4 linked regions of the Daphnia pulex genome follow. The protein of the gene in region 4 purifies or fractionates together with the protein of the main gene of each other region. This does not show direct contact. Links are inferred from orthologs where the notes say so. Each region holds a gene or a part of one and is shown on either strand. Other genes may lie near its edges.

The links.
Region 1: the proteins of exocyst complex component 1-like (region 4) and exocyst complex component 5-like purify together in Homo sapiens (affinity purification with mass spectrometry; 4 studies listed by BioGRID and IntAct, counting the BioPlex papers as one, with this or other methods). This does not show direct contact. The link is inferred for Daphnia pulex from reciprocal best matches to the Homo sapiens genes EXOC1 and EXOC5.
Region 2: the proteins of exocyst complex component 1-like (region 4) and exocyst complex component 7-like purify together in Homo sapiens (affinity purification with mass spectrometry; 4 studies listed by BioGRID and IntAct, counting the BioPlex papers as one, with this or other methods). This does not show direct contact. The link is inferred for Daphnia pulex from reciprocal best matches to the Homo sapiens genes EXOC1 and EXOC7.
Region 3: the proteins of exocyst complex component 1-like (region 4) and exocyst complex component 3-like purify together in Homo sapiens (affinity purification with mass spectrometry; 5 studies listed by BioGRID and IntAct, counting the BioPlex papers as one, with this or other methods). This does not show direct contact. The link is inferred for Daphnia pulex from reciprocal best matches to the Homo sapiens genes EXOC1 and EXOC3.

The regions. Positions count from the first base shown.
Region 1 is NC_060021.1:6,827,911-6,835,502, reverse strand, and holds exocyst complex component 5-like, read right to left. Parts: upstream 4,347-7,592; 5' UTR 4,236-4,346; coding exon 4,209-4,235; intron 4,154-4,208; coding exon 4,023-4,153; intron 3,963-4,022; coding exon 3,845-3,962; intron 3,790-3,844; coding exon 3,592-3,789; intron 3,533-3,591; coding exon 3,386-3,532; intron 3,238-3,385; coding exon 3,136-3,237; intron 3,071-3,135; coding exon 2,930-3,070; intron 2,870-2,929; coding exon 2,793-2,869; intron 2,727-2,792; coding exon 2,616-2,726; intron 2,555-2,615; coding exon 2,459-2,554; intron 2,395-2,458; coding exon 2,244-2,394; intron 2,179-2,243; coding exon 2,071-2,178; intron 2,008-2,070; coding exon 1,883-2,007; intron 1,825-1,882; coding exon 1,635-1,824; intron 1,575-1,634; coding exon 1,418-1,574; intron 1,349-1,417; coding exon 1,188-1,348; intron 1,125-1,187; coding exon 1,020-1,124; 3' UTR 989-1,019; downstream 1-988. Other genes in the region: protein arginine N-methyltransferase 1-like, read left to right, coding at 1-260, 325-618; acetyl-coenzyme A synthetase 2-like, mitochondrial, read left to right, coding at 4,801-4,902, 5,320-5,449, 5,692-5,788, 5,865-6,064, 6,155-6,330, 6,403-6,703, 6,777-6,916, 6,996-7,199 and 2 more. UniProt on the Homo sapiens protein: Component of the exocyst complex involved in the docking of exocytic vesicles with fusion sites on the plasma membrane.
Region 2 is NC_060020.1:3,978,858-3,986,384, forward strand, and holds exocyst complex component 7-like, read right to left. Parts: upstream 4,169-7,527; 5' UTR 4,067-4,168; coding exon 4,037-4,066; intron 3,901-4,036; exon of another isoform or gene 3,878-3,900; intron 3,822-3,877; coding exon 3,656-3,821; intron 3,560-3,655; coding exon 3,366-3,559; intron 3,302-3,365; coding exon 3,184-3,301; intron 3,123-3,183; coding exon 3,025-3,122; intron 2,956-3,024; coding exon 2,815-2,955; intron 2,750-2,814; coding exon 2,587-2,749; intron 2,524-2,586; coding exon 2,336-2,523; intron 2,274-2,335; coding exon 2,094-2,273; intron 2,029-2,093; coding exon 1,785-2,028; intron 1,714-1,784; coding exon 1,568-1,713; intron 1,512-1,567; coding exon 1,441-1,511; intron 1,363-1,440; coding exon 1,251-1,362; intron 1,177-1,250; coding exon 940-1,176; 3' UTR 854-939; downstream 1-853. Other genes in the region: uncharacterized protein LOC124192964, read left to right, coding at 1-336, 405-452; palmitoyl-protein thioesterase 1-like, read left to right, coding at 4,905-5,001, 5,067-5,176, 5,235-5,362, 5,432-5,590, 5,653-5,758, 5,826-5,922, 6,003-6,076, 6,136-6,261; transcription factor SOX-13-like, read left to right, coding at 7,276-7,527. UniProt on the Homo sapiens protein: Component of the exocyst complex involved in the docking of exocytic vesicles with fusion sites on the plasma membrane.
Region 3 is NC_060017.1:4,103,969-4,111,723, reverse strand, and holds exocyst complex component 3-like, read left to right. Parts: upstream 1-3,657; 5' UTR 3,658-3,809; intron 3,810-3,879; 5' UTR 3,880-3,944; coding exon 3,945-4,034; intron 4,035-4,152; coding exon 4,153-4,301; intron 4,302-4,383; coding exon 4,384-4,524; intron 4,525-4,800; coding exon 4,801-4,948; intron 4,949-5,026; coding exon 5,027-5,240; intron 5,241-5,304; coding exon 5,305-5,705; intron 5,706-5,773; coding exon 5,774-5,920; intron 5,921-5,996; coding exon 5,997-6,152; intron 6,153-6,213; coding exon 6,214-6,372; intron 6,373-6,435; coding exon 6,436-6,582; intron 6,583-6,643; coding exon 6,644-7,135; 3' UTR 7,136-7,193; downstream 7,194-7,755. Other genes in the region: uncharacterized protein LOC124194259, read left to right, coding at 260-677, 830-921, 991-1,059, 1,123-1,197. UniProt on the Homo sapiens protein: Component of the exocyst complex involved in the docking of exocytic vesicles with fusion sites on the plasma membrane.
Region 4 is NC_060019.1:8,325,464-8,333,232, reverse strand, and holds exocyst complex component 1-like, read left to right. Parts: upstream 1-3,552; 5' UTR 3,553-3,738; coding exon 3,739-3,906; intron 3,907-3,975; coding exon 3,976-4,068; intron 4,069-4,167; coding exon 4,168-4,372; intron 4,373-4,432; coding exon 4,433-4,596; intron 4,597-4,658; coding exon 4,659-4,886; intron 4,887-4,948; coding exon 4,949-5,081; intron 5,082-5,148; coding exon 5,149-5,258; intron 5,259-5,325; coding exon 5,326-5,593; intron 5,594-5,661; coding exon 5,662-5,813; intron 5,814-5,875; coding exon 5,876-6,150; intron 6,151-6,220; coding exon 6,221-6,431; intron 6,432-6,519; coding exon 6,520-6,673; intron 6,674-6,776; coding exon 6,777-6,922; intron 6,923-6,981; coding exon 6,982-7,176; intron 7,177-7,231; coding exon 7,232-7,384; 3' UTR 7,385-7,536; downstream 7,537-7,769. Other genes in the region: teneurin-m-like, read left to right, coding at 1-1,375, 1,460-2,391.

The sequences.
Region 1 (7,592 bases), on a different chromosome or scaffold from region 4:
ACGGACTTCTCTTCCCCGACCGTGCCAGCTTGTACGTTTGCGCTATCGAAGACAGGCAGTACAAGGATGACAAGATTAACTGGTGGGATGAGGTTTACGGATTCAACATGAGCTGCATTCGCAAAGTCGCCATCACTGAACCACTCGTCGACGTGGTCGATCCTAAGCAAGTTGTATCAAATTCATGTCTACTAAAGGAAGTTGATCTGTACACCGTCACTAAAGACGAATTGGCATTCAGTTCTCCATTCTCTCTTCAGGTAATAAGCACAATTTTATTTGTGGTAGTTTTACAATAATTAACCGTTTAATTTTTATCCATAGCTCCGTCGTAATGACTACGTTCATGCATTGGTAACATTTTTTACCATCGAATTTACTAAATGCCACAAGAGGATGGGATTCAGCACAGCGCCCGATGCTCCTTACACGCACTGGAAGCAAACTGTTTTTTACCTGGATGATTATCTTACAGTCAAGCGTAACGAAGAGATTTTCGGTGTTTTTGGAATGAAGCCGAATGCGAAGAATAATCGTGATCTGGACTTTAACATTGAGTTGAATTTCACGGGTGAACTGTGCACACTTCAAGAGAACAACGTCTATCGCATGCGCTAAATGATTTGTCGGAGAAAGGGTTTTTAAGCCCAGGTGCGTGATTTTGGAAACACATTCAGTCAATAACATGAATTGTTAATTTTTGGTTGGGTGGCTAATTTTTTATTTGTATGGAAAGTTTTCAACTTCCGTCACCTAATTTATTAGTATCCTATCTTGCCCAATAGTTTTCCACTTATTCTAATCTCCTAGAAACTTTTTTAATTTCGTTCGCTAATCCCAACCAGTGGAAAACTACTTGTGTTGAAAACTTAACATGATTTCATTCGCGCGGCAAACTCATGAAAAAAAAAATAAAAGCCACCATTTCTTTTTAATAAACATTTTTTTTTCTTCAATTTGGGTATTTTAATTAAATATGAAAAATTCGTTGGTAACAGAATATTTTATTACGTACACATTTACTTATCTTCAGACAAGGTTTTAATATAATTTCCTAGCCGAGCAGTCTTAAAATCGGCTCGTAGTTGGATGAAGTTTGATAAGATTGAACGATCAAGTGCGGCCTAAACCCCGATAAAAAAAGTTATATATCAATCATATTTCTCAACCTTAATAGTTAGTCTCACCAATTGATCTCCAGTGCAAACCTGTTTAAGGTTTTCCGGTAAAACCAACAATAAGTTGCACAATGCGTGTAGGGTGTCGAATAACGTTGTTACCATTGGAACTTTAAACTCTTGCACACACTTTTTATACTCGTTAACATCGCAAATGGCACAAAGTGCACCTTAATAGAAGAAAAAAAATCGTTCAATCCTGATTAAAAATCTACCATTTGGAATTGTAAAGAAATTACCCATCGAATTATACTGGAACTGATGAAAGTGTTCGTAGATGACGCGATGAAAACGTGTTCCGAGTTCATTTAACACAGCTTCTTGATTTTTACCGTCAAGAGAATTTCTGATCCTCTCAGTTTGGACCGAGACGAAGCGACACACTTTAATACAGGCCTAGATTGGGTTCAAATTATTTTAGCCGAATGTCATATGAAATGTTAGAAGCACAATTACGGGAGATGCAATGACAGCTTCATCTCCTTCTGGTTTGAAGTCTCCTTTCTTTTGTTCTGATTGTAGGGTCACTTTAACGTAACCCACGATGGCAGATAGAGACCGATCGACTCCAATTTCTAGTTTGTTTTCTAGCTGCTCTGAGATAGTTTTCTTTCGTTGTAAACATTCACCATGCTTAGGAGTAGATCTGTACAAACAGCAAATTATGAAATAGGACTCAAACATAAATATTTGAATTAACTTACACCACCAAAGGGATAATGCTATCGTGAAAAAGTTTATCCATTAGATGAACAATGGCGTTGACTTCACGAACTACACCAAAAAAATATAACTCTGGTTGCACTTTGCTTTCTCCTGGCGGTATAGCCTATTTATCAATTAAGGAAGTTAAATATTTTATTCGCCAACAACTATCGATGTAATACAAAACCTGTAGACCGATTTCGAGGGCATAATCAAGAAATTCGTCGATAAGGAACTGGAACAAGACATCCAAAATTTGAACAGCGTTGGCGGCACATTCTGACGACCGTGATAACTAATTTAACGAGGAAATAAAGGTCAATAGTGGGATCGAAGCAGTTAAATAAAGAATGAGCTTACGGAATGGCATCGGATGAGGGCCTGCTTGGTTTCATCCAATAAACTGACGGCGATTTGTTCTGAAAGAAACGTTTCCCCACCATGCGTTTCCCAGACAGCACCGGTTTTTGCTACGATGACTGCCTGCAAATCCCGCCTTAGTTCCTGAATCCTGCAACGTTGAAATTTTTTTTCAAAATGGTGCACGATTAGGAGTTGTTACACAATTCTTTTACCCTCCAGTGTTGATAGGTTTCTTTTGGTGATTTTTGTATTCGTAGAACTTCTTTAAAACGGTAGCACTTCTCTCCTTCAAGTTTCGAATTTCCAAGCTAAATCAATGACGCAAATTATATAAGTCATTTATTGTGTTAGTCGTTCAAAAGGTCTCACCTGATGTATGATTCCAAATAACGCTGAAAGATGTTCTTCACCAGTTTTGATAGAAACGCGTGATCGTTGCCAGTGTCGTAGCGTGCCAAATCAATCGATAACTTTGTTGTCCTATTTTTAAAGAAATTTTTGGGTCAAAATAGGAGAAATGTATGATTTTAAGTAATGGACAATTACCTGGAGTACAATTCATGCAGACGCTTTAAATAAATATCGGGTCTGGATCGATCTGCTAAATTAGTACTTATGGTTCCCTAATAGCATGAGCAAATTTATCGTGTGATTCACTTCTTAAATCAAGTAATTAGCAAAACCTGAAGTTTCCCATAAAAAATGTTGAGGATAAATTTTCCCATAACTTGTTCAGGGTTATGGAAGACTTCTTTCATTTCTCTTGCATTTCGTTCACACAATGGGACAACATCTAAAAATACGTCGCCACTAGAAAATGCACCCTGATCGCAAAAATAAAAACTTTTAATATTCATTCTAAGAAAATACTAAATACTATCGTGTATACCGCTTGGCTTTGCTCAATGAAAGCGTCGATACACTGGGAATATCCCTTGAAGTGGCTTAAAATAGAGGCGATATGTTTCATTTGAGCGCGATCTCCCTTGACCTATAAGGATTTAAATTCAATTAACTGTGTCAACAAATATAGTCGTTATTAAATTTAATAGAGCGAGCGATTGCTTGTGGTTACATAAGAATTCTCATCGGTAAAGCTTAGACGAGTGAGTATGGATTTACATTAAATTCTTAATTACCTGGGCTTTCGCGAACTCCTCAATTAACGAACGCTCAATTTCGTCGTACTTTTGCGCAATTTGTTTCTGCGCACCACTGTATTTGCTAGAAGGCAATTCTTGGGCAACTAACTGTAATTTTTGGATTATGTCTGCTGCTTCAAATAACTGAAAGAACATTGGACATAATGAATACGTGTCGTCATTCAAATATTAAACAAACACACCTGTTCCTTATCGCTAAAAACAGGCGAGAAAGGCCCTCCAGGCTTAATAAATCCATTGAAATGGGTCAGGAGTTTCTGAGCTTCAACTGCACGAGATCTAGGAGTGTTGACATTCTCCAATTGATCTCCTAAGTAAACAACTTTTGTTGCAACATTATTTATCCTAGAGTCCAACTCATGAAATGCTTCCACAGCAGCCTGAATAAGACATGCATTAAAAAACATACTTTACAACAAGTAGATTTAATATTACCTTATTTTTCTCTTCAAGTTTTGCCATTTTTTGCCAATGTTTATTTTCCTCTTCTCTACAAGCAGTTTCAAGTTTATCACATTTTCCCTGTACACGAACCTGAAGAACTTGGAGATGCCTAGAATTTATGTTCAACAATGAGGTGTTTACCAAACGCAGGCCTTGTAAAGTGTCTTACTTTATGGTTTCCTCAAAATTATTCAAGAGACCAGTCGCGGAAAAAGAATCGTCGCTGCCGGAAGAAGAATGTGATACGCCCATAGTCATCCAAGCAAGACGTTCAACGAATTCATTTGGATTAAACGGCTCCTTAACGGTGGTACGGTTTTAGAAATGTTACAAACATTTTTAACACGCAACAAACCTGCTCCATTTCGGCAAGGAAGTCCATGATGGAATTTCAACAAATCACTTTTTTACTTCAAAATATTGTGGTGAATTCCGAGACTGGGGTCATAATCGCTGTCATGTATTTGTATTACTGCAACTTGCATATACTGCGCCATCTATGGATGAATACCAAAACAGAAAATATTTATTTTTTATAAGATTAATAAACAAATATACACAAGATACAGTTATAAATTATTAAACATAAATTCATTTAGGAAACTTCAATTAATAAATACTTTTCTGTTTTAGAAATTAGAAATGTCAAAAGTTAATCTATCGATCTTTTAAAAAATCGATGTTTACAAAAATTGTATGTTTACAGCTGCGCTAAGAGTCTAGTAGCCACTGGCATTCTGTCATTTCCCATTTGGATCACAGTCCTTGGCTGTTGAGTGGACTGGCTGGACTTACAAGTTTCGATGCTCCCTGACATACATTCTAGTTATACAGTGAACACTTCTGCTACTTGAATCAAACATTCATCATACCCATAAGTGCACACAGGAAAATCGCCGAAAACTCTTGTTTAGTGAACGACGGTCGTTGATTTTTGAAAAATTGCAATGGATTCACCTACGGCCAGCGTGTTTAGTCTACCTGAGCTGAAAGATGTTTTTCCTGGCTGTTCCAGTTACGAGGAACTTTACAACTTCAGCATCAATGAGGTTTGTTGGCTTTATTTGTCAACCGTATGCTGCGCCCACGTAGAGCCGTAGACGCTATAGACAACCTTGTGTTACCTTGTTGATTTTGTGTTTGAAGGTTAAAAATAAGGTTGTAGCTAGAGGGACAGATCAAATATTTGACGATGTGGCTAGTACGTGTGTATGCGTGTAAAACAATCGATTATTGTTGAATACGGAAGAAGTTTTGCGCTGCTTTCGAAAATCTTGTTTTCGTGGCGTTTTGCCTACAGCATCCACTAGTTTTCTAATACAGCCAAATGTGGATGAATTGAATATAACTTTGATTTATGAAATCCAGTTATTTCGAGCGCTATGACTTGTTTGAAACGTACTAATGAAAATTTTGTAGCCCTCAGCATAATTTTAGCATTTAATTTTCAATTGGCGTTTTGACAGACGGACCTGTTCTGGGGTACGCTAGCTTTGGAGCGCCTGCGCTGGAGTCGCAATTTTGAAAAAGTCTCGGATTGCGATATGGAGACGGGCTTATTCCGTTGGTTCGTTGGCGGCCAATTAAATGTCTCAGGTACAAATTACTGATAGTGCGTCTATCAGACTGGCTTATCTCCCATAAGAACTAAAACCACTTGTTATTACGAAATAATGACGGGAATTGAGTAGTTTTATCTCGGTTTTTGATGTGATGTCATTTTACAGCCTACATTAAAAAAAAAAAAAAAAACGCTAGTCACGTATACCGGATGAATTAGTTATCTTGAATTTTCTGAATTAAAGTACAACAAATTGGTTTGAATATTTTATCGACAGTCAATTGTGTCGACCGACACAAGGAAAAGGATGCCAGCAGAGTAGCGCTTATTTGGGAAAAGGACGAACCCGGTCAAGAGGAGCGGGTCACCTACGGGTTAGACTTTTAATGAACCTGTCTTGTTACATGTTTTCTAAAATTGTTTTTCTTTTTTCTAAATGACGTGGCACAGTGAGCTGTACACGATGATGAATCAGATTGCCAATGTCCTCAAATCCCATGGAGTGGAAAAAGGAGATCGAGTAGCAATTTACATGCCAGCCTGTCCACTCGCCGTCGCCTCTATGCTGGCCTGTGCCCGAATTGGAGCCGTCCACTCTGTCGTTTTCGCTGGATTCAGTGCGGAAGCGTTGGCGAGTCGCATCGTTGATGGTATTGATTCTCGTTTTTTTTTTTTCTTCAAAAGGCTTTTATTCTTTCAAGTTTAAAACAAATCTGTTTTTTCTAAATCTCTGTTATTAGCGGAAGCCAAAGTAGTTATTACTGCTGACCAAGGAGTACGAGGAGGCAAACTGATTGAGTTGAAAAAGACCGTTGTGGCGGCGGTCGCTAATTGTCCGAGCGTCACAGCAGTCCTCGTAGCCAAGAGGACGGGAAATCCTGTAGTTTCATCTTCTCTTGATGTCGATCTCGACGAGGTTGGTTGTCGCTAGTCAAAATTATAATCAAGGCAACGAATTAATCAAACGATATGTCCTCTTTCCCATCAGGCGATGATTAAAGAGAGTGGCGAGTGTGAACCTGCCGTCCTGGACAGTGAAGATTTACTTTTCATGCTCTACACGTCTGGCAGCACAGGAAATCCTAAAGGGGTGGCCCATTCTCAAGCCGGTTACCTCCTTTATGCCTCTTTGACACATAAGCTAGTATTTGATTGCAACGAAGGCGACATCTTTGGTTGCGTGGCTGACATTGGGTGGATCACGGGCCATTCTTACGTTGTGTACGGACCTTTGGCAAACGGAGTAACCACTCTTCTGTTTGAAAGCACACCGACGTATCCCGATCCAGGTCGATCGATTTTTTCCATTGATTTTTTTTTTTGTGTCTACGTTGATGTTAAGACGCGTGTGATCCCCTGCAGGTCGATACTGGGAAACAGTTCAGCGGCTCAAAGTCAACCAACTTTATACCGCGCCGACGGCCATTCGTTTGCTTCTTAAACATGGAAATGAACACGTTGAAAAGTATGACCTTACCTCTCTTCGAACTCTCGGTTCTGTGGTAGGATTGTCATAACCTTTCGTTAATGCCAACGTACTACGTTGCGTGCGTGTAATTAACTGCTCAATTTCATTTCAAGGGTGAACCCATCAACGTAGAGGCTTGGCATTGGTACAACAAGGTCGTTGGCAAGGAGAAGTGTGTCGTCGTGGACACGTGGTGGCAAACGGAAACGGGCGGAATTTGCATCAGCCCCAGACCATCGGCACCTGGTTCTGAAATTCGTCCCGGTATGCCCATGCGACCAATGTACGGAATCTGGCCTACTATTCTCGGAGAAAAAGTACGATGTCTTGCTCATGAATTTGATTTGAATTTCCTTTTTATAATTATGCAAATATTTTTCAGGGCGAAGAATTAGAAGGCAATAATGTTACGGGTGCCTTGTGCTTGAAAAAGCCGTGGCCTGGAATGGCGCGTACCATTTACGGAGCCCACGGCCGCTTCCTGGACACATACTATCGACCGTTCCGTGGTTTATATTTCACCGGTGATGGAGCCATACGGCATAGTGATGGCTACTATCAAATTACTGGACGGATGGATGACGTGATTAACGTTAGTGGACATCGTCTTGGTACAGCTGAAGTGGAAAACGCTCTAGTAATTTAATTCATAAACAACAGCTTTATCATTTAGTAATTTGATGTACGTATTTTTTTTTTCCTCACAGGGT
Region 2 (7,527 bases), on a different chromosome or scaffold from region 4:
CTGACAAATCAGCCGACAGTATCACATCACTTGAGCGGAATGCAACAACAGCAAGTTCCACATTCACAAGCCCATTCCTTGCAAAACGCACAACACCAAATCATGCAGCAGCAACGCCATATGCCCATGTCTTCGCCGCCAATTAATGCTCAAGCGCAAAGACATTTTCCTGGCCAGCAGTCGGACATTGCTAGACAGCCTGCCATTCGTCGACTCTCACGAGATGTTCCGCAGCCACAGCAACACCCGCTTTACACTTGCCTGAAGTGTGGACAAGAAGCTCAGCAAAAGTGCAGCGGGTGTCAAACCACATTCTACTGTTCCCGTGACTGTCAGGTAATATCGCAATTCAGTTATTGTATACTTGTTTTGTAACGTTTTGTTTTTTTAAATAACGATTGTAGGTTGCGCATTGGGATGAACATGGTAAAACGTGCTCAAAACAGGCTTGACGAGAACGCGAAGGCTTACCAACCAAGACCCTAAATAGTATCCTAGTCCTCGGGTGTGAAGGAGTGACAAAATTGAATTTTCTGATGACAAGTGTTGCGTCCTATCTGTTTTCTAGAATTTGTTTGATGCGTTTAAACGTCCTTCGAGTGGCTCAGTTTAATCTAGCGGTGCTACGTTTCTAAGACAACAGCTGTCATCAGTATTATGCACAAAACAAGGTAGAGCCGTTTTATTTTTCTCATGTGTCTCCTGTTCTACACGTCAAAGTTGAACGTTTAGCAGGTTTTGTTTATTTGTGAAATGGAATGGAATGTGCCTGTACAAGTGTGTACATGCTGTTTAGTCATCGCTGAAGGATATAATTTCCTCTTTGTTTTAATAGAATTCAGACTTGTCGCTATTGTAATTTCATTTTTTAATAAATTTAAATTTGGTGTTGAAAATACAATCAGGATGATTTTTTGTTAACCTTGATCGTTTTGATCATCATGCAGCAACGTCGAAAAATGTATCGATTACCGATGAAATTTGGGCCGGTGAGTACTTGATGTATTTTTCACTGTGTTTGCTGAACTGCGCGTTGCTGTACTTGTCATAGAAAGCCTGATACTTCGGCAGGATGTACTCTTTGTTATCACGCTTCAGACTCTCGCGAAGCTCAACGTCTGGCACTGAATAACCTCGTTGCTCTCTGGACAATTCTTCAAACTCCTTGTTAAGGGTCTAAAAGATTTATCGGATCAAAAAACAACATTTTAACACATGTAAAGCTTATATTTTAACTTTTGAAGACCTACCGAGAACTTTTCTTTAATTAAAGCTTTATCCTTTTCCCGTAACCTGCCGGAAAGAAGTACAGATGCTGGAACATCTTCCGAATTCCATATTGGGGCTAAGACCTTGTTCCAACTGTAGGTTATTTAATTAATTGAATAGTAACGGTGAGTTCAACAAAAAATTCAAAGGAAAGGAACAAAGTATCAATACCTTTGAGAATAAAGCCTCTTCTGTTCGTTGATCATTTCTCGGTAAATCGGCTCGCATTCTGGTTCCACAACCTAAAAACACCAAAATATGTGATTACATTTACTTTGACTACAATTTTGTGCTTTACCTTCAACAGGTCTAGTAGGCCACTACGCTGTAGTGCGCTTAACAAATAGTGGCTGTTATTTAATCGAAAAATATAGCGCAAAGAAGAATCGCTGTACGCATCGCTTTTAGTAACTAAAGTTAAATTTAGTTGAACCAACACTTTTTCTAAAAAAAAAAGGGTAATTTGTTAATCAAACCAGATTTTAAGTTAAACCTGAACAAGAAAAATGAATTACTGATATAAAGTCCTAGTAAAGCTTTGTTTCTCTGAGGTTTCGGCCAGGGTTGAGTGTGTACCAATGCGTTGGAATAACTTTGATCTTGGGCGAGAAGCGGACCGACTGTGTCAGACAAATCAGTCAACTGGCCGAGAAAAAGAACGACATTGCTCGTCATTTCATAGACCGTGCCATCTCTAGGCAATGGAGCTGCAGATTCAGAACGCACAGATTCTGCAAAGTCTTCAAGGGCCTTGCCGCACTAATCAATCACAAAATAACACAGTGATAAAAACGAATCTAAATTATGGTGAGTTATTAGCTTACGGTTGTATGGAGATTATTAACCATTGCGTAAAATCGTGTGCGAACAGAAGAATCGCATCCTTCCAGCAATTTATCACAGTCGCCTTTAAAACACACTAAATGGCGTAAGGCAGGAAAAAGAAGCAAAACGGGACCGAACTCTTGACGAGAAACACTTCGGCGCGCTCGGCCGCTTAAGCTCTAAAAATTAGTAAAGTACAAGAATGACTAACCGATGAAATTGAATCAAGAATATTTCCAACCTCGGCATCGTGACAGATCATTTCCAATGCGTCTCTGAGAATGATAGACAGAACAGCTTTTTGATGCGGCAAAGGGACAATACCCAACATAAGTCTCAGTTCACTCTGCAGTAGTCGCAAAAGTGCCGTGAATTCGGTTAAGAACGATTCGATTTCGTGTTCTTCGACAGCATCTTCTTTTATACTGTCTGAAGAAGAAACAATAATGATAATTGGGAAAAAGTAAAATAAATTTAATTTCGTCTTCTCACCCGCAGCGCTTCTCCTGGGGCCCAAAGCCAGTCCTGTAGAGCTTTCCAACGTTTGAGAAGCTTTCAAAAGCATTTGGTTGGCCTTGCGCTCAAGCATTTGCTGTAGTTTCTTAGATGTCTTTCTACTTGGAGTGTCATAACTGGCTTTGACACCTGATTTTGCCTGAAAATTATAAAAGAAGTTCATTATATATTGCCTAATAGTAGTCACAATAAATATTAGATTACCAGCAATGTAGCCGTTCCCGACATGGCAGCTACGGGACTCACGCCTTGGTGACTCGATACCCCAGTAGATGAACTTCTCAAATGATCACGAAGGCCAAGAAGGGTTTTCTGCACAGTATTTGCGCGAAACCGAGCGTAAACCTGGAAAGTAAATCAGTGACAAAGTTTATTTAATATGTCGTGGATTAATGATTGATGATTACAAGTTACATTCATGAAGTCATCTTCATTGTGAGTTACAAGCCAATCAGCTATTTGCATCAAATTGTCTTTCACATCTGCAGAGAAGTGATTTATACTTATCTCCTCTGGAATGAAAATGGAACATTACATTGAATTTTCAGGTAGTTATAGATAAATGGGGTTCACCTTCATCATTTGCTAGAGCTTCCAAAAGTGCTGTAGCAGGAATGGTTTGACTATGTTTTGCTAGGTGTTCTTTAAATTCGCTGATAATATTATCTTTGCCAGTTTCAAATAGGCTCATCTAATACAAAAGTTGTTTTTTAAGTTTGTAAGGTATGGTGATTGTAAATAAAAATGAAACTTACAACATTTTCTAACTCCACACTCTGTGGATTATTTCTCTCAAAGAAATGCATAGCTTCTTGCAATCGACCGAGGGATTGGAGAAAAATTTCTAGACCCTGACTTGAAGGGCTCTCTTTTATGACAGGCTCAACTTCCTTGCTGACACTGTAATAGCTAATGACATGATCCAAAGAGGCTAATGTTTTATCAATGTCTATAAACACGAAGAAAGTTAAAAAGAAATTTAGATTTTGTAAATTTAGAAATACAAGAAATATTGATATTATATGAGATCTCATTAATAATTTACTTTCTTGTTTCTGTTGCAAATTTTTTGTCTCATTGTAGACTGGTAAAATGGTCTTTTCAAGTCTCGCAAGCCTTTCATCAAATGAAGTCAAAATATTGACCATTCCATTAGTAAGCTGAGAACTTCTAGAAGCAGCATCTTGAAGAAAGACTAGTCCTGTCAGCACCTTTACCAATCATTAATTAAACCCATTATTTGTTTGATACAATATGTCAATATAACCAGTCATATATGTGAGTATCCAGTCACAGCAAAGAAATTTGAATTTTGTAACAAGAAATTGAGTTTAATATTCAAACCTTTAAAATTAGTATTTAAAACAAATAAAATCAAATGATATAAAGAAGAACTAAGTAGGCCTATATAAAACAAAAAAGTAACCTTTTCATGTTTATGATTAAAATCTGACATTTTGCTGAATTTCTGTCAGTTGTTTCGTTTCTCGCCATCTACCGGCTAGAAAAAAACGGTCTTTTATTTCGGTAGGGTAGACGGTAGGTAAATAGGTAATTAACAAAAAAAAGTAAATTCCTCGATTGGTGCGTCAAGTTGAAGTTGGACAAAGAAAAAAATCTAAAAAAGACGTCGCCGTCTATTATGGAAGAAAATATTCAACGTTGAGTCCATTATAATCGCAAGCACATGGGAGCAATCCGAGCCCCACTAAAATGTGGCTAATGACGAAATACGGCTCATAAAGAAAAAAAGCGCTCAGATATACCAGTTTGTTTTGGTAAAAGGTAATCTGAGGTAAAATGGAAATCTGATTTTACTAAGTTCTAAATGGGTTCTTGTTTTCACGGAAGTTGTGTCGTAGAAAAATGGGAAAACTCCAAAACGGTGGTGACTCGTGAACTATTTTGCCGTCACCCTTTCGATGACCCGCAGTTCTACGTTTTTTTGAAGCGACTTTAAATTATTTTAATAACCTTTTTACGATTTTGTTGTTTTTCCTGCAACATTCTTTTTTTTTAAGATCGCTTGAATAGCCCTCTATTGAGATCGATTATGAACCAACCTGGCCACCTGTTGAAAATAGTCAACACTAACCTTGAAAAAAGAATAAATTTTGAAGCCAGCCCAGCACCAAGAAATGTCAAATACACAAATGTCAATGTCAAATGTCAACGTGAGAAACTCGTGCATGGTTGTAATTCAATTACGTAACTGCTTTGTCTAAATTCCAAGCCAACTTATTAGCTTGACCCCGTAAGTGTATGAGTAGTCCTCCTTGGGTAAAGAATCAAGAATGAAGTACACACTTCCCTTAATGTGTGTTTTCCTCTTATTAATAAATTGTCAAATGGTTTTATCAATACTACCAATTGTGATCTGGCACGGATTAGGTAATCACATTTAAGGTTTCTACTTCATTCACAATTTCATGATAAATTTTGAAATGGGTATGTAGGTGATGTTTGCTGCAATCCATTGAGTATTGGGGGCCTACAAAAATTTATACAACAACAAATTCCTGAGGTCTATGTAATTTCGCTGAAGATTGGCAAGACCATTCGTGAGGTATTAATTCAGTATAGCTCAATTAAAAATTTACACCAACAATTCCAATATTATGTAGGATTTTGAAAATGCATACATCAAGAATGCAAACGATCAAGTTGAATTTGTGTGTGATCTGATCAAAAATGACCCTAAATTAGCATTAGGATATCATGGATTAGGGGTATCTCAAGGGGGGCAGTTCTTGTAATTATATCTTTATTGTTGAATAGTTAAGATTATCTTTGAATCATTTTAATTTTCTGCTTATTATAGGAGAGCTGTAGCTCAACGTTGCCCTGATCCTCCGATGGTAAATCTAGTCACTTTAGGCTCTCAACACCAAGGTGTATATGGGTTACCCCGTTGTCTAGGAGATGATGTCAAATTTTGTGACTATGTTCGCTCGCTACTTAATCATGGAGCTTACAAAAAGTTTGTCTACTTGAGACCTATACATTTACAAAAATAATTTTAACAGAACTAATTTTATCAAGATGGATTCAAAATTTTGTTACTCCTGCTGAATATTGGCATGATCCACTAGATGAAAAGGCATACAAAAAAGCAAGTGTATTTCTTGCGGATATCAATAACGAAAGGGTATGAGAATTTTTCATTGGTCCTATTTTTAACTGAAATCGAAACTATCTGCTATTTCTTTTAATAGTCTGTAAATGATACATACAAAAATAACCTTAAGCAACTGAAAAACTTCGTCATGGTTAAGTTTACTAAAGATACAGTTGTCCAACCAATTGAAACAGGTACGCGCCGCTTTAAAGCTCAATTGAATCGCGACATTTTTAACAGTGTGTTACTCTTCACCTTTAATATATCCGTGCAGAATGGTTCGGTTTTTATAAGGAGAATGATTTGAACTCAACTTACACTCTTCAAGATTCGCAACTTTACCTTGAAGTACATCGTGTCTTACATTACAATTTTCTATTAATTACATTTAAAAAAAAATCTCTTAGGATCGCCTTGGTTTACGTGCAATGGATGATGAAGGAAAACTCCATTTCCTACAAGTGGAAGGTGACCATATTCAATTTAGCCAAGCATGGTTTAAAAACGAAATCATTGATAATTTCTTGCGATAAATGATTGAAATTGTTAAAAATGTGTGATAATTTTTTCTTATAACCGTTTCCGTCTGATACGTCATGTTATACATAAACTACAATAATCGTTCATCCCGATATCGGCGGCTGAACGATTCTAAAACTATTGGTAGATCAATACAACATCCTCGTCAAAAAGTGGTAGCGTTTGCCAGCTAGTTAATACGTGCGCCCCGGTGCGAGAAACTTCTTATTTATAAAAAGTTATTATAATAGTCACAAGTCCCGGCGAACAAAAGACGGTCTCCAATTGCAAAATAACATATACTGACATCTCCCACGATTTTAATATCATTAAGGGAACATGCGTAGCCTAAACAGTGAAAAATTACATTAATAATAGCAAACTTCCTATTGACGCATGTTCCCATAGATTATATACAAAGAACGACGAGGATGTCCAGACTAGCATCGAACACTTGTCGACATGCGCAGACACATTAGTGTCCAACAAGTATTTACGACCTACTCAATATAAAGTTGGTTTTTTGTTTGTTTTGCAGTTTGTGTTTGGAGGACTGTTTTTTTTTGTCACTTTGATCCTGGGATTTTGAGGTTATTAGGTATAGATTTGTTCGTCAATTACTAAAGAAACCAAAATTCAAATTTCCGAGATATTTTCATATTCATTTTCAAACAGAGTTCCTCAATATGGAATAGTGCAGAAGTCAATCAGGACTGAGCTAATATATCTCCTTTATATTCTCTTATCGGTAATTTGTTTTTATATGGTGATTGATATCCATCCTATCGTTTAATTTTATATAATTTAAAAAAAATATAGCGTAAAATTTATTAACTGGACTCTATGCCATCTAGCGGCAAACATTAATGTCATTTTTATTATAAACAATGGCTGCTCACGATTGGGTGTGAAGCTTTGTCCAGAAGAGAAACATCAGGGCAAGCAAGGTAAATTATCTTTATAGCATGTGCATGGGATATGTTTTGTCCTTCTTTTGTAAAACTATTTAACATAAACTTCAATAGAAAATGGCAGCCCAAATCGATAAGGGGGCTGTCGATGGGAGGGCATCAAGATGCGATCCCGATGAAACAACCCCCACAGTGATAAACAATCATTGCATTAAGCAGACCATCAGAAAAATCAAGCCCATCCCGCCTCCACTAGATTTAAGCAAAAGGGGACCACTGGATTTAACCAGCTCAGAAAGTGTTAGTGACTTTATCAGCTTTTCAGCCAGCCCAAGAAGTCCTGCTAGCTCAAATCAAAAGCACTTGCCG
Region 3 (7,755 bases), on a different chromosome or scaffold from region 4:
CGTAGGATCGGGATATGGACGAGAGGAGAGCCTTTCTTTATGTCTTGCTGCTTCCTCTCCAGCAGCATCTATAATCCTATAAAAGAGACAGCCATAGAAAGACAAGGAATCACTCTCTGGCTGCTCGCACCGGGATTGCAACAGTTTTATAGCTCCGTATTTTTTCAAAAGGTGTCAAAATCATTTGAGTTGTCGCATCAGCAGCAACATCACTTATCAAACCAAAGGCGGAAACCATCATCTCACAGCATCAGGAGCGATGGATTGGAAAGTTTTCGTACTAGTGGCTATTCTGCCTTCCGCCCTGAGCCTGCCTATGGAATTGTGTTGTCAGAGTAGCAGCAGCAGCAGCAGCAGTATTGCTTCTTCTTCTTTGAATGTCAAACTCGACTCATCGATACCTGTTTCAGATTCGGAAATGCTGGAGCCGTTCATTAGCCCATCGATTAGCAGCAGTTCGAAAACGCCGGATCCGGTGCTGATGCTGATGCCACAGCAGCACCAAGAGTCGCCGTCGTGTTGCGGCAACGATAACGATCTGCCGACAGAAAAGAAACAAGTCAAGAGAACACGAATGAAAATTCGTGGCACCACCAGTAGCGGATTACGTCGAACCAAACGCTTCCCTATTCATCTCGATCCGCTCTATCAGTATCGGTACCTCGCCAGATCGGGCCGTAAGTCTTATATCATGTCTTTCGTAATTTCTTTTGTAATGTCGACCGAACCGAGTTGATGGTATATGCACAGATTATCTGGTATCTACTCAGACAGTTTTAAGTTTTATGAATGATCTGTCGTTGATTTATTATCCGCATTGTTTGTATAGAATGCCCAACGGCGAAGGACGGCCAACCCGAATTTTATTGTCCCACGCCAGACCGAAATGGCAATTGGCGTTGCATCGACGACTTCCAACTAGTAGGACGCTTTGATTCATTATAGTTTTCTTCGAATGAATAATACTCATGTGCACTTTCGCGATTGTAGTGTGACGGTGTGCGTCACTGCCCGAATGGCGAGGACGAACTTCCGGTCTCCTGCCTCTTTTATCGTGTGGTAAGTTACTTGGATTGATCGCTTTGCACAGATAATTAAATTTGTCTTTTCGTTTTTTAAAAGGTTGAAACTCATCTTTTGAGCGTAAGCCAACGGCTTAACAGCGACGAAAACCGACAGCGAGGTGTCCCTCGCTAAAGTGTCCATCCTATAGCCGAATTCTTATATGGTCTCATTATAACAAGCCGCTGCCATTCGTTGTTCTGATTAGTTCCACGTTTCTATGGTAATTCCCGACCATACGTCTATAAGAATTACAGTGCTAGTGTGAAGGCGCCTTATAAGACGCTGGAAATTCCACGAAACGGGACTGGATATGGACACCATTGTGTTATAATTCAGAAAGTTCTGTGCGCAGAGAAATCATCAAATTATTTCATATCATCCTTTCTTGAAAAGAGAATGAATAAATGTCAAATAGAATTCTCAAATTAAACCTCGCGTCGCATTTTTTATTGACACTCCAAATTACGCAACGCTTAGTAAATAAAAACTGAGTTAAAATTCCAAGGGTGATGAACAAATATATAGGTCACACCTCGAAGAAGATTATTCATTTATTATTCCGTGATGTAAAGTTAATTGATTTCTGTGAATTGTTAATAAGCCAGATAGATATCTAAAATATTCATCCATGCAACGAGAAGTTGCGGTCCCAGGAATCCGCAGGAATCGCACGTAAAGACCTTGAAGGATCTGGGGAATTTATAATTCATTCCTAGCCCGGGCAACGTCGTTTGTGAAGACGAAACATTCGAGTTCTAAGTAAGGAAACTCATCCCCAAAACAAATGAAATGGCTGCTCCGAGTATAAAACATGAATAAAAACAACCCTTGGTAGTTGATGGACCTTCATTTCAGCGCTCTATATCGAAATACAATGGATGTAGAATCCCCATCTGGATATGATATTTTGCATAATGGTTATAGAGTGGGATTACAACCGATGCTTCGTTGCGGTCTCATCTCACGGTCGGATCTCCTCTCCCGGAGAGCGGCATTGGTCAGATCGACATGTTATTGCTACGGCAACTCTTAAGCGACTACGCATAGACGACAACTATGTTGTATTATACGGTAGATTTCGAAGGCAGATGGCAGAATGGATTCAGCAGATGAGAGGTATATATATAAGTATAGATGCACGAGCTGCGCGGTCATCGTGTAATGTATGCTGAACCGGGGGTATGTATGTACGGGGGCCGAGCATCAAAGCTGTTCTCTTTCAGTTTGGCTGGCTGTCTCTTCAAATCGTGTGTCAATCTGTTTGGATCGGACGCAATCTGTCAGTCCAGACAAATTTGACCTTTTCACTATTGCCATTAAACATGACCATCGATTACTGCTTTTTGCCATATTATCCTTTCTAGCGCAAGTAGAATGCTACAATGAATCATTTGCCATCAATTTAAAAGTATAACAAATAAATAAAGACTCCAGTTTGGGTTTATCGTAGTAGGTTATACATGGCGGTTGAACATCCGATGCAATGCTGAACGAATGAATTTACGAGCAGTGAAAAGAACAATACCGCTATTATGCCATAATAACGCCTACGGACAATATGCTAATTAACATTTGATGGAAAGAACAAAGTTTCGTCCTAATTTGCGTAAGATACTCGACGAATTAATGCAGCGCCTACGATCCTACGTGAAACAACAACAGTTTTTGTTCAAGAAATCGAGCATCAGATGTTTCTACAACGAAACAATCGCCTAAAAGTCCCGTGGGTTGCCATCTTTATAAACGATGCGTTAGTTTACATAATCCCGTTTTGTTTTCGCTCTGTTTTTCAGATAATGAGACGATCCCTTTTTTTTAGCAAGTATCTCCTATGTATTTTTATTTACTCGATGTATTATTAATGAACATCTTTGACGAAACAATCAACTTACCACTCTACATTTTAACAGGCGTGCTGTGTTGCATTATCATTTCCGCAAAACTAATTGGTAATTGGCTCAATGCTATTATCCCTTTATATTAAGGCAATTTGTTAGGCTCACTTGTTGTTTTACGCACAAACTATAGGATAAAACATAGTTGGACAACGTGCTGTGTTATAATAAGATAAATATTTGAAATTGGGCATTATCAAAAATCGTGAGCATAACGGGATGACTACCGGATGTGTAATTAACGTATAAAATCGATTTTCGAAAAAAACAAAGAAAAATAAAATGACAAAATGTAGAGTAGGCTACCTACCTTCCCAATCGATCCTTTCGCGTTTCCCCCTTACTAATACGGCGCTACGCCAGCCGTTTTTTTTTTTTTTTTAACTTTTAAAATTTTAATTAATAGATTAACCTTTAGTTACTTAAGAAAACAGTCAGCCTACTCGTTGTTATCAAGTGTCACACCCTACACACAAAAAACAAAAAACACCGTGGCTTTTCCCATACTAAGAAAAACTAATCTATAAGATATAGGTCATAGGGGGAGAAACCGAAAAACGCGAAAGAGATTAATTCATATTTAGGTGGGTGCTGTATTTTGTTAAGATGATTTCAAAGATATTGCGTAATAAATAGGAGAAAAATTAATTAAAATAAACCGGCAAAGGCGAGAAGAAATATTGGAAAATCGATTGTAAGCCCCAAAATCGATCTCTAATGAACGCCCAGTCGGCCCAGTGACGAAAAACTGCCAGAGTGACAAATCATGGAATAACAAATAATAATAAAATATTTATCTTAAATATACGAAGGTGATAATTCTAGCAACCACAAGGAGCGGAGAATCAGGTAATAATTGAGGAATCACTAAAATAACCCAAAACTGAATAACAATTGTGACAATTGAATGTTAAACTAGGTTGTCAACAAAACACAAGTTGTTTGTTGTTTTCTTGGTAGTTGTAGGTTTGTGATAATAGAGAAATGAATATTGAAGTTCTTCAAGAAGAGGCAATGCTCTCTGCTTCTGTTTCATTGTCATCAATGTTGCAGCGCCCTGATCAGCTTGAAAAGGTAAAAGCTCATTTTTTGGATTGTTTCCGTAAAAAAACCTTAAAATGTAAACAACATAATTATATGTTATAACCTGATGTTATGTTTATTTGTTTTGTTTTTGTTTTATTAAATTTAGGTGGAGCAGTACAAACAACGAGTAACTAGGAAAAAAACTTCAGTTGAAGCAATGCTGAAAACAGCTGTGCAAAGTCAACTTGATGGTGTGATAAGTGGGCTGCAACAATTGCAATCAGCATTGGTTGATATTAATGACATTCGTCATAGGTATCAAAGCACATTTAAAAATGTTCACAGATGACTTCTAGACTACTACAATTATTATATTGTGTTATGTTGGCATTTAAAGGTTACATGAAATTGAAGAGTGTGTCACAACAATTCCCACACTATGTGAAAGTGTTAAAAATGTAAGGCAAGAACATGTTGTTTATTCACAATATGCTGTTGCCATGGAAAATTTGAAACATATTTTCACTGTTCCAGAAAGGTAACTTTTACATAGTTTTTTAAATTTTAAATTACTGTTTTTCTTTCAATTGAACTACTCTAACTAATTTTCAATGGCAAAATTAAAAGACATAGTTTATAATCTGGGATACATTTTAGACTTTAGTCACTAGCTGCAAGTTATTGGCCAACTAAACATGAAAATATGATGCTAAATTAACTTAGAATTACCAGCTTAAATATAAGAAACTTAGAAATGTTATTATTTCATTATCAATATAGAATATAACCATTAAAAATCCGACTTTTGTTCTAGTGTCGATAAAACTCGCCAGTGGATATCCGAAGGAAAACTTCTTCATGCGCATCAAAGTCTTACGGATCTAGAGAACTCACGTGATGACTTGCTCTACGAACTCCACAGGTTACCTAATCATTCTTTGCAAGATAAGCAAATGCTTAAGGTCTGAACATATTTTCTATTTTTATTCGCACGATGTAAATATGTAATACTCATTTAAGGAATTGTCTCAATCCGACAGGCGTATTTTTCTGGAGTGCAACAGTTGTCAGAACAATTGGGAAAGCAGCTGTGGTTACTTTTGGGTAGATCTTTGAACACAGTTCGGAAGGAACCGCAAGTGATTGTTACAGCAGTTCGAATTATTGAGCGGGAAGAACGTGCGGATGCTTATGCGGTGCAGCGTCAAAAGCAAAGTGGATTCTTGCCACCGGATAGACCAAAAAGATGGAAAGGTGATTTTCAAAATGTTAGTGCACATTTAACACATTTAATCTGTCTTATTATATCAACTTTTAGCAAGAGCACTGGAAGTTCTATACGATGCGGTCGTTGAAAGAATAGAGGGCAATCAATTCGAAGAGAGAGCTGACAATAAAATGTGGCTAGTGCGTCACCTTGAGGTGACTCGTTTGCTGATTATCGAAGATCTTCGTGTGGTGAAAACTCTGTGCGCCCCTTGCTTTCCTCCTCATTGGGATATCGTCAATCAGTTTTACCAGAAATATCACACGAGCATCAGTAAACACCTCGAAGAAGTGATTACAGCTGGCCTGGTTGGCAATGAATTTGTTACACTGTTGTCATGGGTGCTACAGACATATCCAGGTCCAGAGCTTCTCCGACACCAGGATGTCAACATCGACCCTACTTCCTTAGGGCCAATTTTGAGCGATTCTACCATAGAAAAGCTTTTCCAGGTAGCTCCAGAAATTTGTCATAATCTGCTCCTTTATACGTAACTTATGACATTTGTACATTTATTTAGGAATATATAAGTAATATGGCCTCAAACTACAACGACTGGATGCAAAAGACTGTTGATGCAGAGGCCAGGGATTGGAGACGACCCATCGTTCCGGAATCGGACGGCGATGGTCATTATCACACCGAGTCGATCGTTATCATTTTTCAAGTAATTATTCTTAGTTTCTTTTGGCAAATCGTGATGTAAAACGATTATTCACTTTTCGTTTTAACTCATTGTTTAGATGGTGGAGCAAAATCTAAGTGTGTCGCGTACAATAAGCAACGAATTGATGATGCGGGCATTGATTTTGGGACTGGAACAAATCACGCAGTATGGAGAGATGTACCGAGAAGCGATAAATCTTTTCAAAAACAAACACTTTGAAGATAGAAGCCAAGTATTTGCGTCGCAATACAGTTACATTTAGTGAATTACTAATTGGTTCTCTCTCTTTCAAGGTGCCTTATTTTACACACTACATGATCGCAATTATCAACAACTGCCTGCACGCGATGGAACTTTCTCAGCAAATGAGATCTCGGAATGGGAATAAGGGTGATCAAAGTGGCACTTCATCATTTTTCAACAAATTCGAAATTCTTAGCCAAACTTACGATGTAAGGCCTATAACCTATTACTAGTTTAAAGAGGACCCAAACTAATAGTGATTTGAAAATCAGAGCCTTAGGAATGAGGCAGCTGGATTTTTGCTAGATGAGGCTTTCCTGGATCTTGAACCACACTTTCAGGATCTGTTGACTCGCAAATGGGTCCTGTCGACCGTTCCCGTGGATACCATTTGCGCAACTTTGGAGGACTATTTTCAGGTGAGAGTTATTTCCCCGTGCCATTTGAAACACCACCGAGCTAATGTATTATGTATTTCAGGATTACATGCACTTGAGGCCACGCAATTTTGAATACGTCATCCGGCAAGCTGAAATATGCATCACTCGAAAATACATAACGTCCATTTTCCAGAAGAAGCTGTCGTTGAAAGACGAACGAAGAGAAGTAGCGGACAAAATCATCCAGGAAGCTGGGCAAATCGAAGCTCTTTTAGCTCCTGCATCTCTCAGTCGTGCTTTTTCGGCGGATGCTCCTAAGGTCACCGAAGATGCGGCAAAGGCGATATCTGCTTTGGCCGAAGTCATCAAATGTGATTCAGAAATTATAACCCTGGAGCTCATAAACTTCATCAAAAAATACCCCGATGTCAGTCAAGATCAGCTCACGTGTCTACTGAGTCTTAGAGGAGATTTTGGAAGAATTGAAGCCCGCCAAAGAGTGGCCGACTTGTTGTCCAGCGGCTCCAAAGACGAGAGTGCTAGATCGACGATTTTTTCTTTGATTACTGTTCCAAGTTCCATTTTCTCGTAAACACTCTTTCTTTATCTACGCATGTTATCCGATTTAATAAAAATGCTACAGCATTCAATAATGTTTGTAACACCAACGACGATATTGCATTTTCAACGTGTCACAGTTGAATGCGCGTATTTTCCGGGGGTTTCCAACTTCAATTACGGTTCCTTAAGTATCATAACGGCAAGTAACTATGTGTGCGTCACCGAAATAACGTTAAATTTAGTTTTGGCTTTTGGTTTATAGTAAAAAATCGATATGCGTTCTTCCTTACCAAAAGGGAAGCCTAGTAATTTCTCAAAGTATAGCCGTGTTGGGATTACATTTCAAGTAATCTAAACCGATTTTTATACCGTTCATCTCTTGTACTGTTTCACATCTTCACGAGTTATTGTATGTGGCCTAGGTGGCTTATTGGCTTCATTGCTACACAAGGATTGTAAAATTTCCGTTATCCGAAAGTGGATGAATCGAATAGTAGATAAAAATGAACGGTGGTTGGTGGTTTTTTAGTCAAATGTGTGTACGTGTATAGAAATAGGGCAACTTCTCGACATTTTCATAATATTTAGACCGCATTGAATTTCAATTTTAAGCTATTTTCTCCCCCAACAGTGAAAAGGAAACTCAACTTT
Region 4 (7,769 bases):
GTGGCGGAGACATCGCTGGACTATTACAGCGACACGGGTCTATTGAAGACGGCCGAAGTGAAAGAGCGGCCCGGTTACGAAGTCCGCAACGAATTCAAATACCACGGCGGTCTGGTCAAGGAAGAGCGGACGAAATTCGGCAGTAAAACGGGACTGGACAACGCCCGGACTCGATGCAAGTACGACGGTAACGGGCGTCTGGCTTTGATCGAAACGGAACTCAACGGCCGCGAACTCCCGCCGCACGCCTTCTCCTACAACCAGAATCTGGGCTTGCTGGAGGGCGTCAACGACCTGCGCGTCTACCGCAACGCCTTCAACCGCACCGTCATCCAGGACTCGACCAAGCACTACTTCCGCATTTCCGACCGCGATCAACACGGACGCACCGCCATGGCCCTCATCAACATCAAGGGCTACGACGCATTCAAATTCGAGCTGGACTTTGACGTCAGAGGACGAGTGCACCACCGCCGGATCACCATCGGTCAAAAGCTCATGAGCTACAACGTGACGTACAACGCCGAGGGTGGATTGCTCCAAGTCCAGCATCAATCGCAAGGATTTTCTTCCGCCGGATCCCTGGCCGGAGTCGGAGGAAGGAGCTACGCCTACACTTACGACGACAACGGCAACATTTTGACAATGTCCAACGGAGAACAAGCGAAAATCAGTTTGGTCTACGACGCTGGCGATCGTGTCAGTTCCTTCGGCGAAGGGCAAACGGTCGCCTACGATTCCCGTGGCTTTGTCGTCCGTCGCGGCGCTCTGAAATTGGCTTACAACGACCGCGGGCAATTGTCGTACGCCAGCAGCGAGACCGGCAGCTCCAAGTTCCGCGTCTGGTACAATTACGACTACCGCGGTCGTCTGTCGGTTTGGCGCGACGACAAAGGCAACGTGACCCAGTTCTTCTACACCAATCCGCTCAAGCCCCAGCTGTTGACGCTCTTGCACTGGCCCAAGGAGAGCCGGACATTGAGAATGTACTACGACGTCAACGATCATTTGATTGCCGTCGAATCACCGGAGCAGCGCTGGTACGTTGCCAGCGATGAAACGGGCACGCCTTTGGTCGTGTTCAACGTTCACGGCTCCGTGATCAAGTTGACGGAGCGGACGCCGTTCGGATCGACTGTCCTCGACACGGAATCCACCGTCTACATCGGCGTGGATTTCCGAGGCGGAATCCTCAGCCCGCACACCGGAATGATTCATTTTGGCGGCCGAGTTTACGATCCTTCCATCGCTCAGTGGCTCACGCCCGAGTGGGAGCATCTCGTTTCGCGGTTGAAGAATCCCCAGGACATTTTCGTCTACCGATTCCGTGGCAACGATCCAATCAGCATCGACACAGAGCCCCGCTACATGACAAGTAATATTCAAATCTCTTTTTATTTTAAATCAAAGTTTCGTTGGAAATTTATTCTAACCAATCGACTTGATTGATCACTTTCAGGTCTGGATGACTGGCTGCAACTATTTGGCTATTCGTGGAACAACATTGTCGGTGCGGAATACAGTTCGGCGGCCGTGTTCAGTCAAGTATCTGAAACGGACACGAAGAATGCCGTTGGACACTTTGGAGTCATTTCCGGCTTACGCTGTCTGACTGAAAACGTGCAAAAAGGATTTTCCGTTCTCAGTTTTGTGCCGCCTCCCAAGCTGCGGTCAGGAGGCGAGCTTAGACGGAACCCCCTGCCCAGTATCGCTTACCGGAAGCCGGCCTTGGGTGAAGGTATCCTCCTCTCGCGGGTGGGTGGTCGCGTGTCTGTCACTTTGTTGCCCGACTCGCAGGGCAGCAGCGGTGGCATATTGCAAGACGTGTTGGGTTCGGTCCTGGGCGACAGTTCCACCACCCACTGGTTAGACATCCGCACGGGAATGGGCCAACAGGAAATCTTCTACTTTGTCAAGGAAAGTCTGGCGAAATTGCGCGACGACCAGGAAGATTTGAAGCGTTTGAGTGGCCAGTTCAACATCACGCTCGTTGAAAACCCGACGGAACAAGGAGGCGGGTCTGAATTGCGATTGGCCAATGCGGATCTATCCGTCAGCATCAGCTACGGTGTCGAAGTGGAAGCGGCTAGACAGCGAATACTCCGGTCGTCTCATCGGCGAGCGGTTGAAGTCGCTTGGCTGCGCGAGAAACAGTTGGTGGAAAGCGGATTGCCCGGCCAGCAGGTGGACTGGAGCGTTGAAGAAAGGGTGGAGCTGATGACCAACGGAAGAGTCGACGGCTTTGTCGGCTCGGATTTGCACAGCATCTACGACTACCCGCAATTGGCCGATGATGCCAGCAACATTATTTTCCGGAGAGACGACACCAAGCGAAAACGGCGCAAGAGCCATCGCTTGTCGTCACGCCAACAAAGACGGGGGCAACACTGAAAAAAAAACAGGGTTTTATAATTAATCCACCAAACCCATGATCGTACTTCGAAACTAAAAAATATTGTGCTTTGTAAAAAAAAAAAAATAACAAAAATAACAAAAAAATCTGATTATGATTACGGTGCTCTGTCATTCTAATTTGTAATCTTTGACGGAATCATTTGCGCTGTATTTTTACGTCACCAGGAAAAGAAAAACAAAAAACTGCTCGAGCCGAAAAATGAAGCGTAGTCATCACCGTCTCATGTGATAATCAAATATCGAGATGGAATCCGAGTAGAAACATTCTTCGACATATTTGATGGTTTATTCATCTTTTTTTTTACTTTCCTTCCCTGTCCATTTCTATATATTACAAACACACCCACCAGTAAAAGAGATATATTGAAATCACTACTGACATTGGATCCTGTTTTCTTTTGTACTTTAAGAATTGTGTTTAGAGTTGTAACGTTTTTTTTCTGTTATTCCTTCGTGTACATATATTATTCTGATATTTCTTGACCGAAGCGATGCGTCGACATCACACCGCCAGATTTATTTGGGACTCTTCTCTATTGGCATCATTTGTTGCAATATGTTATTTCTGAAGAGTGTGCGATTTGATGACTCTACATGCCAAAATTCTCCTTTTTCAAATGTGCGTGTGTTATTTGAACATGGCGGGCCTAACTTTTGTGTGCGTCAAGTGTCATAATATTCACATCTTTATCGTATATAATAATCTCGGTATGCAAAACAAAAAATTCATGAATCTGAATGATTATGTGCATCTGATATAAATACATATTGTTGTACTGTAACACTTTTGTGAATTTTTTAAGAAATACGGTTGAGCTAAAATATCCAAAATGAAATTTTCGACACGTTGAGCGTTAAGGAAAACAAATGAACAAATGAGACAAATGAAAATCTAGAAAATCAAGTTTAAGATAAATGTTATAATGTTATATTTCAAGAGTAGTTCTCAGTGAAAATTCGAGATTAATAATTATGGTCACCAGATCTGCTGTACACGCCCCTCGGTCTGATAGTCCACCCCTTCCTCCCATTAAAATTATGAATAAATAATCCGATCGTTTGCTGCACGCGCGAGTTTCCGCGTTTTTTAAAAAATAACCCTTTGACTTCATAAGTTCTCCGTATCACTGTTAGAGGACAGCACCATCAGATGGTGGGTGGGACAGCTTCGTCTGCAATATTGTCAGTTGTCACGAAACACAGCAGACATAATATAGTGTATGCAACCTGCTGGCGATTCAACGTTATTGTTATTGAATCTAATTGTTAGCCGATTGATTGACGATTGATTGACATTTTCTCGTTACTTCTTCGTTTAATAAAATGGCTGCGCTAAGGCACAGTTTGCAGCGAGAATTATTTTCGCCTGCTGAAGAAAGATTAGTTGGATTGGCTCATGTGACTAGTGTTGGCAAGAAAAAGAAGGCACTTCCTTGTTTTTTGTGCGTTGCAGTTACTGCAGATCAAGGCATCGGTGCCGTAATATACAAGGTATACTTACTTCAATTTTCCCATGCACCAAATTATGTTCTTTATTCTGTCATTATTTTCAATAAACAGGTAAAGAAAACTGAGAAAAACAATGTTTACAAGAAGAAGAGTAGCTGGCCATTGAAAGAGCTCAAAACTGTGGATGGTATTGATGGCAACAAGGTATAAAGAAATTGTTTTCATATTTGTCTGGTTTGCCCATGCAGACCCTCAAAGAGTTGTGTCATCTTCTTAAAACAATTGTAATTTTTTATTTTGTAGGAAACAGCTGAATTCAGCATTCATTTTGACAAAGTATACCTTTGGTCTGCATCTAATGTTCAAGAAAGGCTTCTTTTGTTTTCCATTTTATGGAAACTTTGTTCAAAGTATTTGCCGAAACAAAGTCCAATGTTTGTTAATATCCCTCCAGGCATCATAGAAGATTCAGTGATACCAGAAACATCCGTAGCATTAGATCATGAAGGTATCAAATTGAAACTTGTGAAGCATTTTATAAGTTGTTCACCTGTTTGATTCAAACTAGTCAGTGGTCCAATGGATGGAGGCATTGGTGAGGAGGATTATCAAGCCCTTACAGACAGAGAAGAGAAAGACCTGGAACGATTATTATCTCAGTCCAATAATGCCTTGAGTAATGCAGAAAAGTTTATGGAGCAACTGGCTAAGGACTTGTCTTTACTTGATGGAGTATTTTATGCAATAAAAATCTATCATTTGAAATATCATAACTGAACTGATTTCTACTATAGGCAAATATTCAAAGCTTGATGGGCTCTGAAGCTCAAGTCATACAATTGTTGAACCTTCTCGAAGCAGCCGAAAATGAAGCTGCATCCATTGAAACCGAGTTAGACAAGTATGAAAACATTCTACTCCAAGCCCGGGTTGCAATGGCAACAGTAGGTGAAAAGAATGTGTCCCTGGAAACTGCCAACCGTAACAATCGTCTTCTACTTATGGAACTCAATAATTTAGTCGTAAGGCTGCCGTTTTCAATCCTCGTTTATCCGCATCTACAATCAATGTGTTTGTGGTACAGGCACATTTAGATATTCCACATTCCCAGCAAGTAACTTTGAACAATCCAGACTTAAATAGTCCTACAGGCCTTCAAAACGCTATAATAGCTGCTAAATCTCTTCAACGTGCTATGAATGCTGAACTAAAACCAGGTACTTGCATTTTTCGAAACCAAAATAAAATAATTCTATTCTCATTTCTCTAATCGTCACTCTTAAGGACTTGAGAAAATGGTTGCGGTTCAAGATCAGCGACGGCAGTTGGAGAAATGGCGAGCAAAATTTACACCCACAGTTACTCGCCAACTCAACAACCTCTTCATTCACTTAGTAATAAAATCAGTTTATACTTACGCTTTTTTTTCCCTTCAATAATATTTTTTGGTTTTCTTTTTAGAGCAATGATTCTGGAGAAACCAGTAGTCAAAGCTCTAGAAGTTCAAACTCTTCGCAAACAACAGTGTCACTGGCTAAACACGGGAAACTGCATTCTCAACTACAAATGTATGCTCCCTTAATGCATTGGCTAAAAGCAACAGACCATGCCTGCTATGAGAAACTACTCGAAGTATACACTACATCAATATGTAAATTGTATGAAAGAGATCTACGGCAGTTCTTTGATGAAGCGCGTTCGAAAGTGATAGGATTGCGAGAGAAAAAACGTAAGGAGAAGCAATTTTTTATTTGAATCCACCTTTAGTGATTTCTGGTTATAACATGTTTACCGCAGTTCGTGGAAGTGATTCGGGTTCAGACATGGGCACCAGGCATTCCTTGTCTATTAAAAATCCTTCAGGAACAAATGTCGCCGCGGCAAGCCCTAGTGGAACAATACAAATGCCGAGTCAAAATTTGTTAGGGAATGAAAGAGAGCTTTGGACGGTACAATATACTATACGAAATTTTAAATGTGTAAAATGTATTGATAAATATGTTTATTACAGGTTGAAGTTGATATTCATGAAAGAAAACGCCTAGAAGACTTGCTTGAATGCGCACTAGCCGAACTTGAACCAGTATGTCTAGTGGAACAAGAATTTTGTGTCGCATTTTTTGCACTGGATCAAGGAGGCCATGAAGCGGATGAATCATCAACAAGTAACAAAACCCCAGAACGAGCCATTAACGAAGAAGTGCGCAAAATGATGAGCGTTTTGTTTACTGTTCTTGAACCGGAGCTTGTGAGCTTTCTTGCTACTTATGAGAAAGTAGATAGCTTGTAAGTGATTTAGAATACTGTACTTTTTAAATTGGAATGCTTTTTTTTTAATCGCTATTATTATTTCTAGCTCACCTTTGTACGTCCTCGTGAGACTTAGTCAGCATGTCTTGTCTGCAACCGATACCGGTTCCTTCCTCAGTGTTACATTTGGTTCATCTTTGGTGCACGTGAAGCGAGCATTCGATCGGTTTTTTATGACTCAGCTTCGCTCGATTGAAGATTCAAAACAGCCTAGGAAATCCAAATGTGGGATTCTTCCTTTCATTTCTAATTTCGAGGTAAAGTAACAAAATTAAAAATTTGTAAGTTAGTTGTATTTTGAATTTATTTTGAATTCCCCACGGCATCCTTTTATTTCATTTCTAGGAATTTTCTGTGATAATTGAAAATATTTTCAAGAATTCAGAACGGCGGGTTGATGTTGACAAATGGTACACACGTTTAGTCCGAGCCATGTTTGAAGTAATGCCAAGGATTTCTATAGAGAACTCTAGGACTCCAGCTGACATGATCAAAATGGGTATTTGAACGATTATTATATCATTTTTCTTTTAATTCAGAGTTTAATTCTAAGAAACAAAGAAATTCATTGCTATTTGTATTTTGTATTGTTTTTTTAATAGAAAATTTTCATCGATTACACGCTTTGTTGTCACAGCTAAAAATCGCAGTCCTGGAAGCCGAGAAGAAAGAAGCAAAGCAAAAATATCAGGAAGCACTTCAATCATACGTTATACAATATTTTGGAAGGCCTTTAGAGAAACTCAATGTAGGTTACCTAATTAATGTGCTAAAAATGTGAAGTAATTTTGTTTTTTGTTTTTCTAGTTATTTTTTGATGGTGTTCAAGCTAAAGTTTCGCAAGGAGTTAAAGAGTCGGAAATTGGCTACCAAATGGCGTTTAGTAAACAAGAACTACGAAAAGTGATTTCCATTTATCCTGGAAGAGAAGTTAAAAAAGGTCTCGAATCTCTGTACAAAAAAGTGGAAAAACATCTATCTGATGAAGAAAATCTGTTACAGGTTATTTGATTTTTTTAATGTATAAAGCATTATTTAATGTAATGCTGTTTAATAGGTTGTGTGGCGGGCCATGCAAGAAGAATTTATCCGTCAATACAAATCCCTCGAAGACATGATTCAGCGTTGCTACCCTGGTGCGCTCATCACGTTGGACTTCTCCATGAGTGATATTCTTGAATATTTTTCAGACATAGCACGCTCTCACTAATGCTTGATTTTCAGAAACATAATTAAATTACATGTTCAAAAAATTTTCCTAAACAGCGATACATATTGAATGAACAAAAGCAGTATAAAAAATACGTTCATCCCGTATCCCTTTAAGAATAAAGTACCACCTACCAGGTTATCGCATCTATATATAACATATACGTGGACTTGGAGAAGAAAGTAGAATACTGGAACGAATATATGAGAAGGCATTGAATGCTCGATCAGTGAATCGATGAAGGATGAAGGCAAAGTTTTTTAAATTTAAATTTCATTCAACCAGGTGGCAGGGGCTGCATTAGACAAGTCTCTACATTCTGCCCATTCGAAGTGAAAGAAGTAAAGCCAATGCTTTTACTGGGGAGCAGACCTATTTATTCATA